Linked DNA regions of Nothobranchius furzeri. The protein of the gene in region 1 interacts with the protein of each later gene in a pairwise test. Links are inferred from orthologs where the notes say so. Each region holds a gene or a part of one and is shown in the gene's direction. Other genes may lie near its edges.

Region 1 (3,755 bases):
TAGAACCCAGATAGAACTCAGACACAACCAGCAGAACTCAGATAGAACTCAGACACAACCAGCAGAGCTCAGGTAGAACTCAGATAGAACTCAGACACAACCAGCAGAACTCAGGTAGAACTCAGATAGAACTCAGACACAACCAGCAGAACTTAGGTAGAACCCAGAAAGAACTCAGACACAACCAGCAGAACTCAGGTAGAACCCAGATAGAACTCAGACACAACCAGCAGAACTCAGGTAGAACCCAGACACAACCAGAAGAACTCAGGTAGAACCCAGACAGAACTCAGAACCCAGACAGGACCAGCAAAACCCAGACAGAACTCAGATACAACCAGCAGAACTCAGGTAGAACTCAGACACAACCAGCAGAACTCAGGTAGAACCCAGACACAACCAGCGGAACTCAGGTAGAACCCAGATAGAACTCTGACACAACCAGCAGAACTCAGGTAGAACCCAGACACAACCAGCAGAACTCAGGTAGAACCCAGATAGAACTCAGACACAACCAGCAGAACTCAGGTAGAACTCAGATAGAACTCAGACACAACCAGCAGAACTCAGGTAGAACCCAGATAGAACTCAGACACAACCAGCAGAACTCAGGTAGAACCCAGACACAACCAGCAGAACTCAGGTAGAACCCAGACAGAACTCAGGCACAACCAGCAGAACCCAGAAAGAACTCAGACACAACCAGCAGAACTCAGGTAGAACCCAGACACAACCAGCAGAACTCAGGTAGAACCCAGACAGAACTCAGAACCCAGACAGGACCAGCAGAACCCAGACAGAACTCAGATACAACCAGCAGAACTCAGGTAGAACCCAGATAGAACTCAGACACAACCAGCAGAACTCAGGTAGAACCCAGATAGAACTCAGACACAACCAGCAGAACTCAGGTAGAACCCAGACACAACCAGCAGAACTCAGGTAGAACCCAGACAGAACTCAGAACCCAGACAGGACCAGCAGAACCCAGACAATACTCAGACAGAACCAGCTCAACCCAGACAGGACCAGCAGAACCCAGACAGAACCAAAACAAATTCAGACAGAACCCAGACACAACCAGAACCAGCAGAACCCAGACGGAACCCAATGTTCTTTGGTGAGCGCGGTCCCTTTAAGACTTAGGATTTGGGAGTGACGCGGATAAAGAGCTAGTCGTCCCTGTTTCCTTCGCTATGAAAACTATTTAGGTTAACTCGGCCAGCGGCTGCCAGCTCCAGCAGACGAGGTAATTATGAAGCCGGTTCGCTTGAGCTGTTGAAGAAGCCGTGACCGGAGAGCTCCGTGGTTAACCGTGAACTTTAACGGGTCGGGATTGGATCCGCCAGGGCCGCCCTCCGAGCTGTCGGGATAACTTTGGAGAAGTTCTTCGTATTCCGGCTGAACATGGACTGGGGCACAGAACTTTGGGTGAGTCCATCATCTGACTCCGTTGAGTAGAAACACTGTAAAACGCAACGATGGCTGCTGTTTGCTCTGACAAAGTTGGGTTTGTCTGCAGAAGACGCGCCGAACTCCGTTTGCAGAACGATGCGTTCACGAACACTTTTTTTCCTTCGCTTCACATAAAAGCGGTTTATTCTGGAAAAATGCATTAAAAAGCCTCTTCAAATCATATGACTCTAGTAATTTAAATCAAATGACATTTCAGGTGATTTTCATGCTATCAAAAGCGTTGCATATAAAGTAAACTGATTTAAGGTGAAACGCGTGTTAAATTTCCGTTTTTTTACTTTTTAAGGATGTTTAAGTACTCTGGTGAAGGACGTGCAGGATGCTTCTTTGTTTATATTTTGTCACACTTGGCTTCCATAGAGATGGAATCAGCTGCTGGTGTGACCTGGCAACAGGCTCCATCTTGATTAGGTGGTTTCTCTGAGTGAAAGTACACAAAAACAGCTTTCTGACGTAAATGCTGGGCAGCACATGTTTCAGTTAACAACCAGGAGGCTGTAAAAGTCCCTAACCCTAACTGTTCAGGAGGCCGGCCCAATCAAGAGTGGTCCGGCTTTGCAGCAAACATGGAGCTACTTCCTGAAGGCAGAAGCGAGCAGCTTCAGTCTGAACACAACCATCACACACGTTCTCAGGGAACCTGCTTTGTAAAATGGAGCATTGCAAACTGCAAAGAGGAGGACAGGGAGGTTGTGACCTCATTACTGTCCCCCTCCCATCCTCCCCCCCCCGGGCCTTCCCCCGTCCCCCTTTTTCTCCCTATGCAGTGGTGCAACAGCCTAATTAGTTTTGCCCTACTTTGATTCACAGAAACATTGCTGCTCCTGTTAATCAGAAACTATTTCTACTGCAGGGCTCTGCAGCACAAATGCACACAAAAGTCTGCTGTTTTTAGTTAGCGATTAATAATCTCATGCACATGTAGAAATATATTAACCTCTAGTTGTTTGTTTTAGAGTCTAACCCCACCTGGATGAGCCTGCAGGCCTAATTGGTTTTGTTAATGTTTGGCTGGAGTCAAACTCGTAGACCTGGTCAGCTCTTTGGCATCTGCTCCCCTGATTGTTTTTAATCCGGTGGCTATTTTAAGGCACTGGTTTGCTCAGTCCAAGATGAGTGTCTGGGCTTTTAGTTGTGACTAGAACAGCAACTCCCGTGTGGCGGGTCTGGCAGGGCCATGCCTTTAATGCCTTTCATTATCGACAAGAACGTTTGACGCTGAGCTGAATCATTCACAGAAACGTTTGAAGGTGGTGAGTTGCCGTGTGACGTTTCATGACTTTTCCTTGATGTAGTTATTGAAATGATAGGAAGTTGATTTGCCACAGTCATATCTTTGTTGCCCCCACCTCATTATAATATGTGTAGTAAAAATAAAGGGCGGCTGCTTTTTTAAGAGTAGATTCTGTAATTATCAGGGAGTTATCCTCCCTGCATAAGAAGTGAAATGAAGGAGTTGAATGAGTGTCACCAGCTTTAAAAGCTTTAGGCGATTTTATGATGCGTTACAAATGCAAAGGAAATCATATTTTCTGTGGTGCTTTCCCTGCAAAATAGAACATTTATGTCACATAAGAGCTGGCTGAAACAATCAAATGTTTTCTGTGAAAGTCAGCTGACTACTGCAAACCATCTTTATGCAGTTAAACTAACAAAGCAAATTTTTCAGATGTATGAATGCACTTGTAGTTCGAAATCATCCTGATGTCACAAACAAAAAATACGTATTTTTCTATTGTCATTTCCATCCAGCAAACATCTCCCGAAAGTCTTTCAAGTAGTACAATTTATTTATTTATGAAATTTTACCATAATGCCAAATTGTCTCTTTAATAAACAGTTCATTGTAGAAAGTTCAATAATTATTTTAAGATGCTACATGGCTTTCCCAGACTCTGAAAACTTCCCTGTGATATATTAGTTGTCTTGTCGTTTCCAGATCTGTCTTTTTCTGCAAATCTCATCAGAAAGCTGCTTTCACCGTTTGTGTTCTCAGAACACTTTCCTGAAATCAGAAGTATTCAGTAGATGAGAGGAAGCTGTTTAAAAAAAAAAATTGCACCTGTCACAAAACTTCCTCATATTTTAACAACATAATTACTTCTACATAAATACTTTTATCTATGGGCTGATCTAATCTGGGTGACAGGGCCAGTGTGATTAACAGAAATGTACCTAAGCAGTATAGACGCCACTAACTGGTGCATTCATCACAGGTGCAGTATAGTCTAGCTCACATGTAACGGACACAAGGTCCCGCGCAGCATTTTTATGTGGCC
Region 2 (3,755 bases), on another chromosome or scaffold:
CTGTCTTTCTTTCTTCTAGAACTAGTCGGACCACTCTCCTCAGATCACAACTAGACATTATCTCTTTAGACACGAGTCAAACCCGAAGAATTAGAATATGATATGATAATATTGTAAACAGTGGTGGAATCTGCCTGTTTTTTCTCTAGCTCGCCCTCTTCTCCGCCTTCACTAACATCTCCGCCAAATACCGAAGACCCAGAACAATGTCCGTCCGCTACTAGATTCCTTTCCTGTTTTGCCCGCCTTCGTCTCCCGGCAACGGACAACAACTTCCGGGGTCAGATGCGCTGCTCCGTCTCTATCGCAGATGTAGAACGTCACCGGGAGTGTTTCTCCCTTCATAAAGGAGATTCTTTCAGACATTAGGAGAGCTGTTTTGGTGGTAGCAGTCTCTCTGTGCTGGTCTGTTTGCTGCTGGGTATTTTGGTTTATTTAAACTCGGTAACTTGAACTTAATGTTGGTAAAGATACTGTTAGCATTTTCGCTAACAGCTTCTTGCTGTTACATTTTGGTTTAGAGTTCATCTTTTTTGTGGCGCAGATCTCCCTTTTATTACATTTAGAGGGTTGTGGGTTTTCGGTTTAGTTTAAAATATCACCTCGAGTTTGGTTTAACCGCCCAGTTTAGAGTTTGGACCTTTGGAGATTCTTCTTTTGGTCCAGAACCCAGTAATCTTTGCCCAGTGGGACATCCCTACTTATTTGTACTTTTGTTTTAATTCCCCACAGGCAGGATTAGTTTTATTATTCCCAACCTGTGGATGGAAAGATTTATGATTTTTGTTGTAGTTGTAAGTAAACCTGATCATCATTTTAACTTTTAAATCCCGTGTTATTGTCCCTTCCTTTTTACACACGAGCCAAACTCCCCAGGAAGGGTTGTAGCACCACTCGCCTCACGCTCATAAGTGACCAAAACAAAGCAGCATGGAGACATTCTGTCTCCAACCACCTCGCAGGCAGCAGCCTGCACTCCCAAGTTCTACATGTCACCAGAACATAACCAACCGCAACACAATAAAAGCAGAGTTGTACAAAATGGAAGGCCTGTAGTGTTTATTCTCTTACAGTAACAATTTATAAATTTTTTGAGAAATTTATTAGAGATTTTTTGGTTTTTATTAACTGTGCAATAGAAAAATAATCATTAGATTAACTGTCTAAATAGTCATTAGAATAGTCGACTATTCGATAAAATAATCGTCAGAATAATCATTTTAAAAATAATCGTTTGCCCCAGCCCTAGTCCTCTCCAATATTGGGCAAACACATATTTGTCCCCCCAATAACATGGAGATGAAAAAAAAAATAGATTTTGAAATATTTGACTCGCAAGCTTTTATTTTGAAAGACACTGCAGATTTCTCACCTAAACAGCCCCTCCCCTCAGGGAGTCAGACAGGCTGGCTGAGTGAAGCAGGAGTCAGAGCCGGGGCACGGACACAGGTGTCAGAGATGAGACGACAGCAGCTCAACGAGTTCTTTCTCATGCGCAAAAAAAGAAAGAAAGGAAATGTGAGTTGGTAATAATTTTGTCCAAGAGGATAATTGTATTTTTGGTCAAACGTTAGACTGGTTGACTACTGTAAACATCTTGCTAGGCAGCATTAAACATTAACCCTCCCACTGTCCTAATGGGTGACCCTGTGAGCAAAGTTGACCATTGAGCAGGATCAATGGTTTATCCCTTGAGGTCCATGTGGCAGGGGTGAGGTGGTACTCACTCCTCACCCCTGCCACATGGACCTCAAGGGATGAACCATCAATTCTGCTCAATGGTCAACTTTCCTCATGGGGTCACCCATTAGCACAGTGGGAGGATTAAACAACACAACTAGTCAATAAAAAATGGCGAATTTTACAGTAACAGACAAAAACCGTTTGACAGGAAATAAGTAGAATCTCCACTTAAAAATGGCGTTTGTAAGTGTGACTGTTGCTTGTTTGTGACATTCTCATCAAATTTTATTTTTAAACCTTATTCTTGTCACTTTGTTCATATAAGAGATCAGATGAAGTTCAGCAGCAAAATGATAAGAAGGTGAGACAGGGAGAACCAGACCTGCTGAGGTGCAGGTAGGTGCTACAGTGAGTGGGATGGTTTTAGGTGGCTGATGAGAGGAAGATTTGAATGTGATAATAAGTGAACACAGTTACATTTATGTAATCCCATAACAAGTAGGGCTGGGCAGTACGGCTTAAGAATAAAATAAATTCTGTACACGCTTCCTTAGAAATATTTGAAAAAACAAGTGTTAAACCCTGCATTCTGGTGCATTTAGTCTGCAATTTTGGCCACTGTTTTTTTCTTTTGGCCATCTGAATAATAATGTAGTTACAGCTGTTGTTGTGAGTGAATTGTTATTTCTTTTTTCATTCTGTCAGAAGCAAACAGATTTTTCAGATTGTTGGTCAGCATTGTTGGCTGATGTTGTTTAAAATATTCTGATGAGAGTCAGATCAATTAAGACTCAATTTTCACAGCTTTAGTCTTGTATTAAATCTGTTTACACATCTCTACCCACATATCCTACATTCATATTATTAAATAAAAATAAAACCATACTGACACAAAAACAGCTTTTTTTAATAAAACATCCACGTTGACAGGTAATCAAACTGGATCTGGCTAATGGGGAGCCAGTCTCCTCCCCTTCTGGTTGGCTCATGGGTCCCCGATCAAAAGAAGAAAAAAAATGTTAGTGAACTGGGCTATAAAAGTTATTTTCTTGTCTTTCTGGGCTTTGCCTTACGCCCTGAGTCACATCTGTCAGGCTTTTCATATCTTAGAGTTTCACCGTCTATTTTCTATCAGAAGCTAATGCAGGAGATGGCTGTAGGAGACTATTTTCATGTTCAGCCTGCATGAAACACTCGGAGTGACCCATTAGAATCAGAAATAATCATTAAATAAATTTTTTTTCAGTGAGGCTGTTCTACACTCACCTAAAGGATTATTAGGAACACCTGTTCAACTTCTCCTTAATGCAATTATCTAATCAACCAATCACATGACAGTTTCTTCAGTGCATTAAGGGGTGTTGTCCTGGTCAAGACAACCTCCTGAACTCCAAACTGAATGTCATAATGGGAAAGAAAGCTGCTTTAAGCAATTTTGAGCGTGGCATGGTTGTTGGTGCCAGATGGGCTGGTCTGAGTATTTCATAATCTGCTCAGTTACTGGGATTTTCCCCCACAACCATTTCTAGGGTTGATAAAGAAAGGTGTGAAAAGGGAAAAACACCCAGTATGCAGGAGTCCTGTGGGCGAAAATGCCTTGTTGATGCTAGAGGTCAGAGGCGAATGTGCCGACTGATTCAAGCTGATAGAAGAGCAACTTTACTGAAATAACCACTCGTTACCACAAAGGAATGCAGCAAAGCTTTTGTGAAGCCACAACACGCACACGCTTGAGGTGAATGGGGTACAACAGCAGAAGACCCCACGGGGTACCACTCACCTCCACTACAAATAGGAAAAAGAGGCTACAATTACCACCAGTTCACCAAAATGGGACAGTTGAAGAATGGAGAAATGTTGCCTGGTCTGATGAGTCTTGATTTCTGTTGAGACATTCAAATGTTGGAGTCAGAATTTGGCGTAAACAGAATGGGAACATGGATCCATCATGCCTTGTTACCACTGTGCAGGCTGGTGGTGGTGGTGTAATGGTGTGGGGGAAGTTTTCTTGGTACATTTTAGGTCCCTTACCCCCAAATTCCACTACCTCCGCTCCGCTCCGACACGAACGC
Region 3 (3,755 bases), on another chromosome or scaffold:
TCACTAAGCGTGTTGTATTGAGTTGTTTTATAATGAGATACTATCTCATAATAACAAGATACTATCTCATAACAATGAGATACTAAGCCATAATCATGAGATACTAAGTCATAATTATGAGATAGTATTTTATATAATAAGATACTATATCATAATAATGAGATGATAAGTAATTATTAAGAGATACTCAGTCATATTTATGAGATACTATCTCGTAATAACAAGATACTATCTCATAATAATGAGATATTAAGTCATGATTATGAGATATCTCATAAAGGTAAGATTCTAAGTCATAAGGATGAGATACTATGTCATGATTAACATATACTATCTCATAACAATTAGATATTAAGTCATAATTATGAGATACTATCAAATAATAATTAGATACTAAGTCATAGTCATGGGCTAGTGAGATATTTTTTATTATCTGAGTGGCGGGATTAGGCTTCCACAGAAACCAACATGCAAAGATGACAAAACATAAAACTGTGATTTGGTCTTTTCCACTATCCATCCATTTTCTTTACCCGCTTGTTCTTGCAGGGTCGCGGGGGTCTAGTGCGCCTTTTCCACTACTGGTGTTCAATTGGGTTAAAAAAATGTAATAGATACTGTTTTTGTTTGAATCTTACTCTTGAGTCTGAATCAGAATTAGATAATTTAAGATTAAAAATCTTACGTTTTTTTATTGTTAGGCAAGAATCATGTTACAAGAAGTGTGGAGTTTCCGCTTTAGACATTTCACATCCGTTTAACTCTTTAGCATGCTGACAGTATTTACAGAAGTGCTAACAGAGAAAGGGATTACAAGCCTTAAGGCTGTTCTCCTTGCCTGCACAGTCAGAGAGAAGAGAACCACACGTTCTACATATGACTTTACTCATCCTTCACAGTCAGACATGCATTAGTGGAGGGCTTTTCTAAACGCAAAATCATGGTGCCACAGAACTTCAGGGGCTGACGTTTCATCGGTGCAACTTCCTCATTTGCAAATTTTTGTTGCATGTGACCTAGAAGCACACTCCTGAAACAAGAACAAAAACCTGACAGGCAAAACACACACACACACACACACACACACACACACACACACACACACACACACACACACACACACACACACACACGCATAAAATCCTCCACCAGGAGAGCTGTAGGCACCTCACCTACCTGGACCTTCTAAACCCTGATGAGGCTGTGTGGACAGGGCTGGAGCAGGATTCCTAGTGGGGCTGAAGAATAGAAAAGCATGATGCTCCGGCAGTCTCTGAGCATCTTCAAGCAGCTCGGATCAGTGACAAAGTAAGCCTGTACTAGCTATAACAGTAGAAATGGAATCATGTACGCTGTTGTGTGCCACGTTTGTGTATATTTTTAAGTTGTTTGAACCCCAGCGTGTCACTGGAAGAGTAGTAGAAGTGAATGTGACTTGTTGTCTGTTTGATAAGTCAAACAACTCAAGCAACAGCAGGTCACATCAGGTTTAAGCTGCATGACTCCATTTGAACTGGACTTGGTCCAGATATCATAATCCAGCAGCCATCATGGACTCTGCAGAAGAAGGTTTCATTTATTGCTTTGAGGAAATTCTCGCTCTGTCCATGATTTCATTTTTAGTGCGAGTGAAGCTGCTGTTAGTCACTGCTGCTTGTTCCTCTTGAAAGTGATACGTTTGGGTTAAGTATTGGGGGGAGGGGGTTCAAGTCATGGTTTGGGTCGGCTTGTACTTTTTTTTGTTCTGTGATGATGAAACCTGAACATAAAAGAACTCCTTAAATTACCCCGGTTAGAAAACATGTGGGAGCCACCAACTTCACACCTTCCTCTGTTGAGTGTGTGCAGCAGGACTTTAGTGGTTTGGTTGCAGGCAGTGCAGCCTTCCTCTGTGACGCACTTTTCTTTAATACTGAACTACGTGCATCTGCAGCAGAGACATGTGGGCTCCACATATCACACATGCCAATTTGCAATGATGCCCTGAGCTTCAGCCGTGCACACACACACACCAAGAACATCACCTTTTCTTGTTTTTATTTTAAAAAAAAACTACATTTCCTCTTCCCATGTGAAAATAAGAAGGAGGAAGTTGTTTATGCTTCAGACCAGCTCAGAATATATCCTTTAAACCTTCAGATGTCTTTTCAGGAGGAAATCGTTTGCACCTCATGTGTGCTGACGCTCATGTGGTCCCTCCATGAATGGGACTGGGCTTCCTTTAGGTGGAACAGCAAGCATGACGATGTTCACCAGAGAAGAGTTATTTAGAGAGGCAGAGCCTAAACAAGCTGATGTGCTAAATGAGATCATGTTCTTCTGACCATAACTAAGATAGGTTTCCTATTAGTGTCCTTTGCTCTTGATACCAAACTCTCAAAACTTCATCAGCCCACTCCCTCCATGCTTCACATGTCTTTTGTTTCTCACCTCTGAAAGCAGACAGATGAAGTTTCAGAGCAGAGGAGGTGCAAAGTGGGAGACTGATGTTTTCAATGTCAGAAACAGCTGTGAGATCAGTAGATTAGTGCAACCCTGTCACTCTAAGGGTTGCATCAGTGCAAAAACACCACATGTTAGTTAGATTTTAATATTTTATGAGAACAAACAGGAAGATTCAGAGGTGGACAGATGCCCTTTGATCTGTTTGTCTTTCAGTTTGTTGACAGAGACAGAGATAAGGAAAGTTTGTGGTAAAAAGTTCTCAGAATTTACGTCTACATAAAAAAAAGGCTATTAAATACAAAGAACAAAAAGGTACACACACACACACACGTGCACACACACATCTAGTTCATTTACAAAACATTTTCGATCGAAATCACCAAATTTTATTTTGAAAATTTCCAAAAATGGAATTGCATTTTGTTTTACAAATGAGCTCATGTCTACATAAACAGCCAGTTCTCATTATGTACAGAAGCCTATTAGGGCCACTAGTCAGAATGTCACTACAACAGCTGAAATCCTATTTCCAGAAAAATGTCTAAAGTAAGCTGTTTGAAGATTTGTGAAGGAAGCAATGTTTATTGTGTTCCTGAACCCTCCAAAAAGCTTATTAGTATTGTTTTATAATAAAACTCCACTAGTTTATATTGTGTTTGAGACTCTTATTGTGAAGGATTTAAGGAAGTTGTGCTGAAGATGCTGCTACAAGAGCACATATAGGGACTAGCTCCATTCAATAGGCGGCCCACTGGCCCATTGCCCAGATACCTCTTCGTAATTTTTTTATTTAATTGCTGCAACTTAATTGTAAGTGTGATCGTTAACGTTTTGCAATATTTTAAGGCAAGTATTTATTTGCCATTTATGCTGCTAGTGGAAAGTTTACAACAGCAGTTTCTTGGGAAAACAAGTCACAAAAGAGAGGAGACATATGGTTGACAGTGAAAATAAAAAAATTAAGTGACATCTGGACTGTTAAGTCCAAAAAGCTGAGGGAAACCCATATGCCTTGTCCATCGTGTCATTTGCTCAGTAGATGGAGAATACAATTTACGGAGGCTTTTCTAGACAACTCACCAACAGACTCAGCGAATCAACAAACAAAAATAAAGAAACTGACTCTAAACTATCAGCAAAGTTGTGTGATTTTCACTTGGAACCCTACATTAACATCTCTGAATTGTGTGCATACTGACTAAAAAGAAAAGACAATGGCACAATACAAGAGATGGATGAGCAGCCCACTGGCAAAAGTATGGGGAGAACAAAAGATACACACACACACACAAATCTAGATACACACAGAT

Evidence for each region. The genes of interacting proteins can lie anywhere in the genome.
Region 2: the proteins of trip10a (region 1) and arhgap17b interact in binary tests that used the Homo sapiens proteins (3 or more experiments, as listed by UniProt). The link is inferred for Nothobranchius furzeri from reciprocal best matches to the Homo sapiens genes TRIP10 and ARHGAP17.
Region 3: the proteins of trip10a (region 1) and sh3bp1 interact in binary tests that used the Homo sapiens proteins (3 or more experiments, as listed by UniProt). The two-hybrid records come from large-scale screens. The link is inferred for Nothobranchius furzeri from reciprocal best matches to the Homo sapiens genes TRIP10 and SH3BP1.

What each region holds. Positions count from the first base shown.
Region 1 is NC_091745.1:3,269,009-3,272,763, reverse strand, and holds the start of trip10a (cdc42-interacting protein 4 homolog), read left to right. Parts: upstream 1-1,216; 5' UTR 1,217-1,407; coding exon 1,408-1,431; intron 1,432-3,755. UniProt on the Homo sapiens protein: Required for translocation of GLUT4 to the plasma membrane in response to insulin signaling. Required to coordinate membrane tubulation with reorganization of the actin cytoskeleton during endocytosis.
Region 2 is NC_091752.1:55,847,670-55,851,424, reverse strand, and holds the start of arhgap17b (rho GTPase-activating protein 17b), read left to right. Parts: upstream 1-1,111; 5' UTR 1,112-1,293; coding exon 1,294-1,518; intron 1,519-3,755. UniProt on the Homo sapiens protein: Rho GTPase-activating protein involved in the maintenance of tight junction by regulating the activity of CDC42, thereby playing a central role in apical polarity of epithelial cells.
Region 3 is NC_091756.1:27,546,694-27,550,448, reverse strand, and holds the start of sh3bp1 (SH3 domain-binding protein 1), read left to right. Parts: upstream 1-1,116; 5' UTR 1,117-1,255; coding exon 1,256-1,308; intron 1,309-3,755. UniProt on the Homo sapiens protein: GTPase activating protein (GAP) which specifically converts GTP-bound Rho-type GTPases including RAC1 and CDC42 in their inactive GDP-bound form.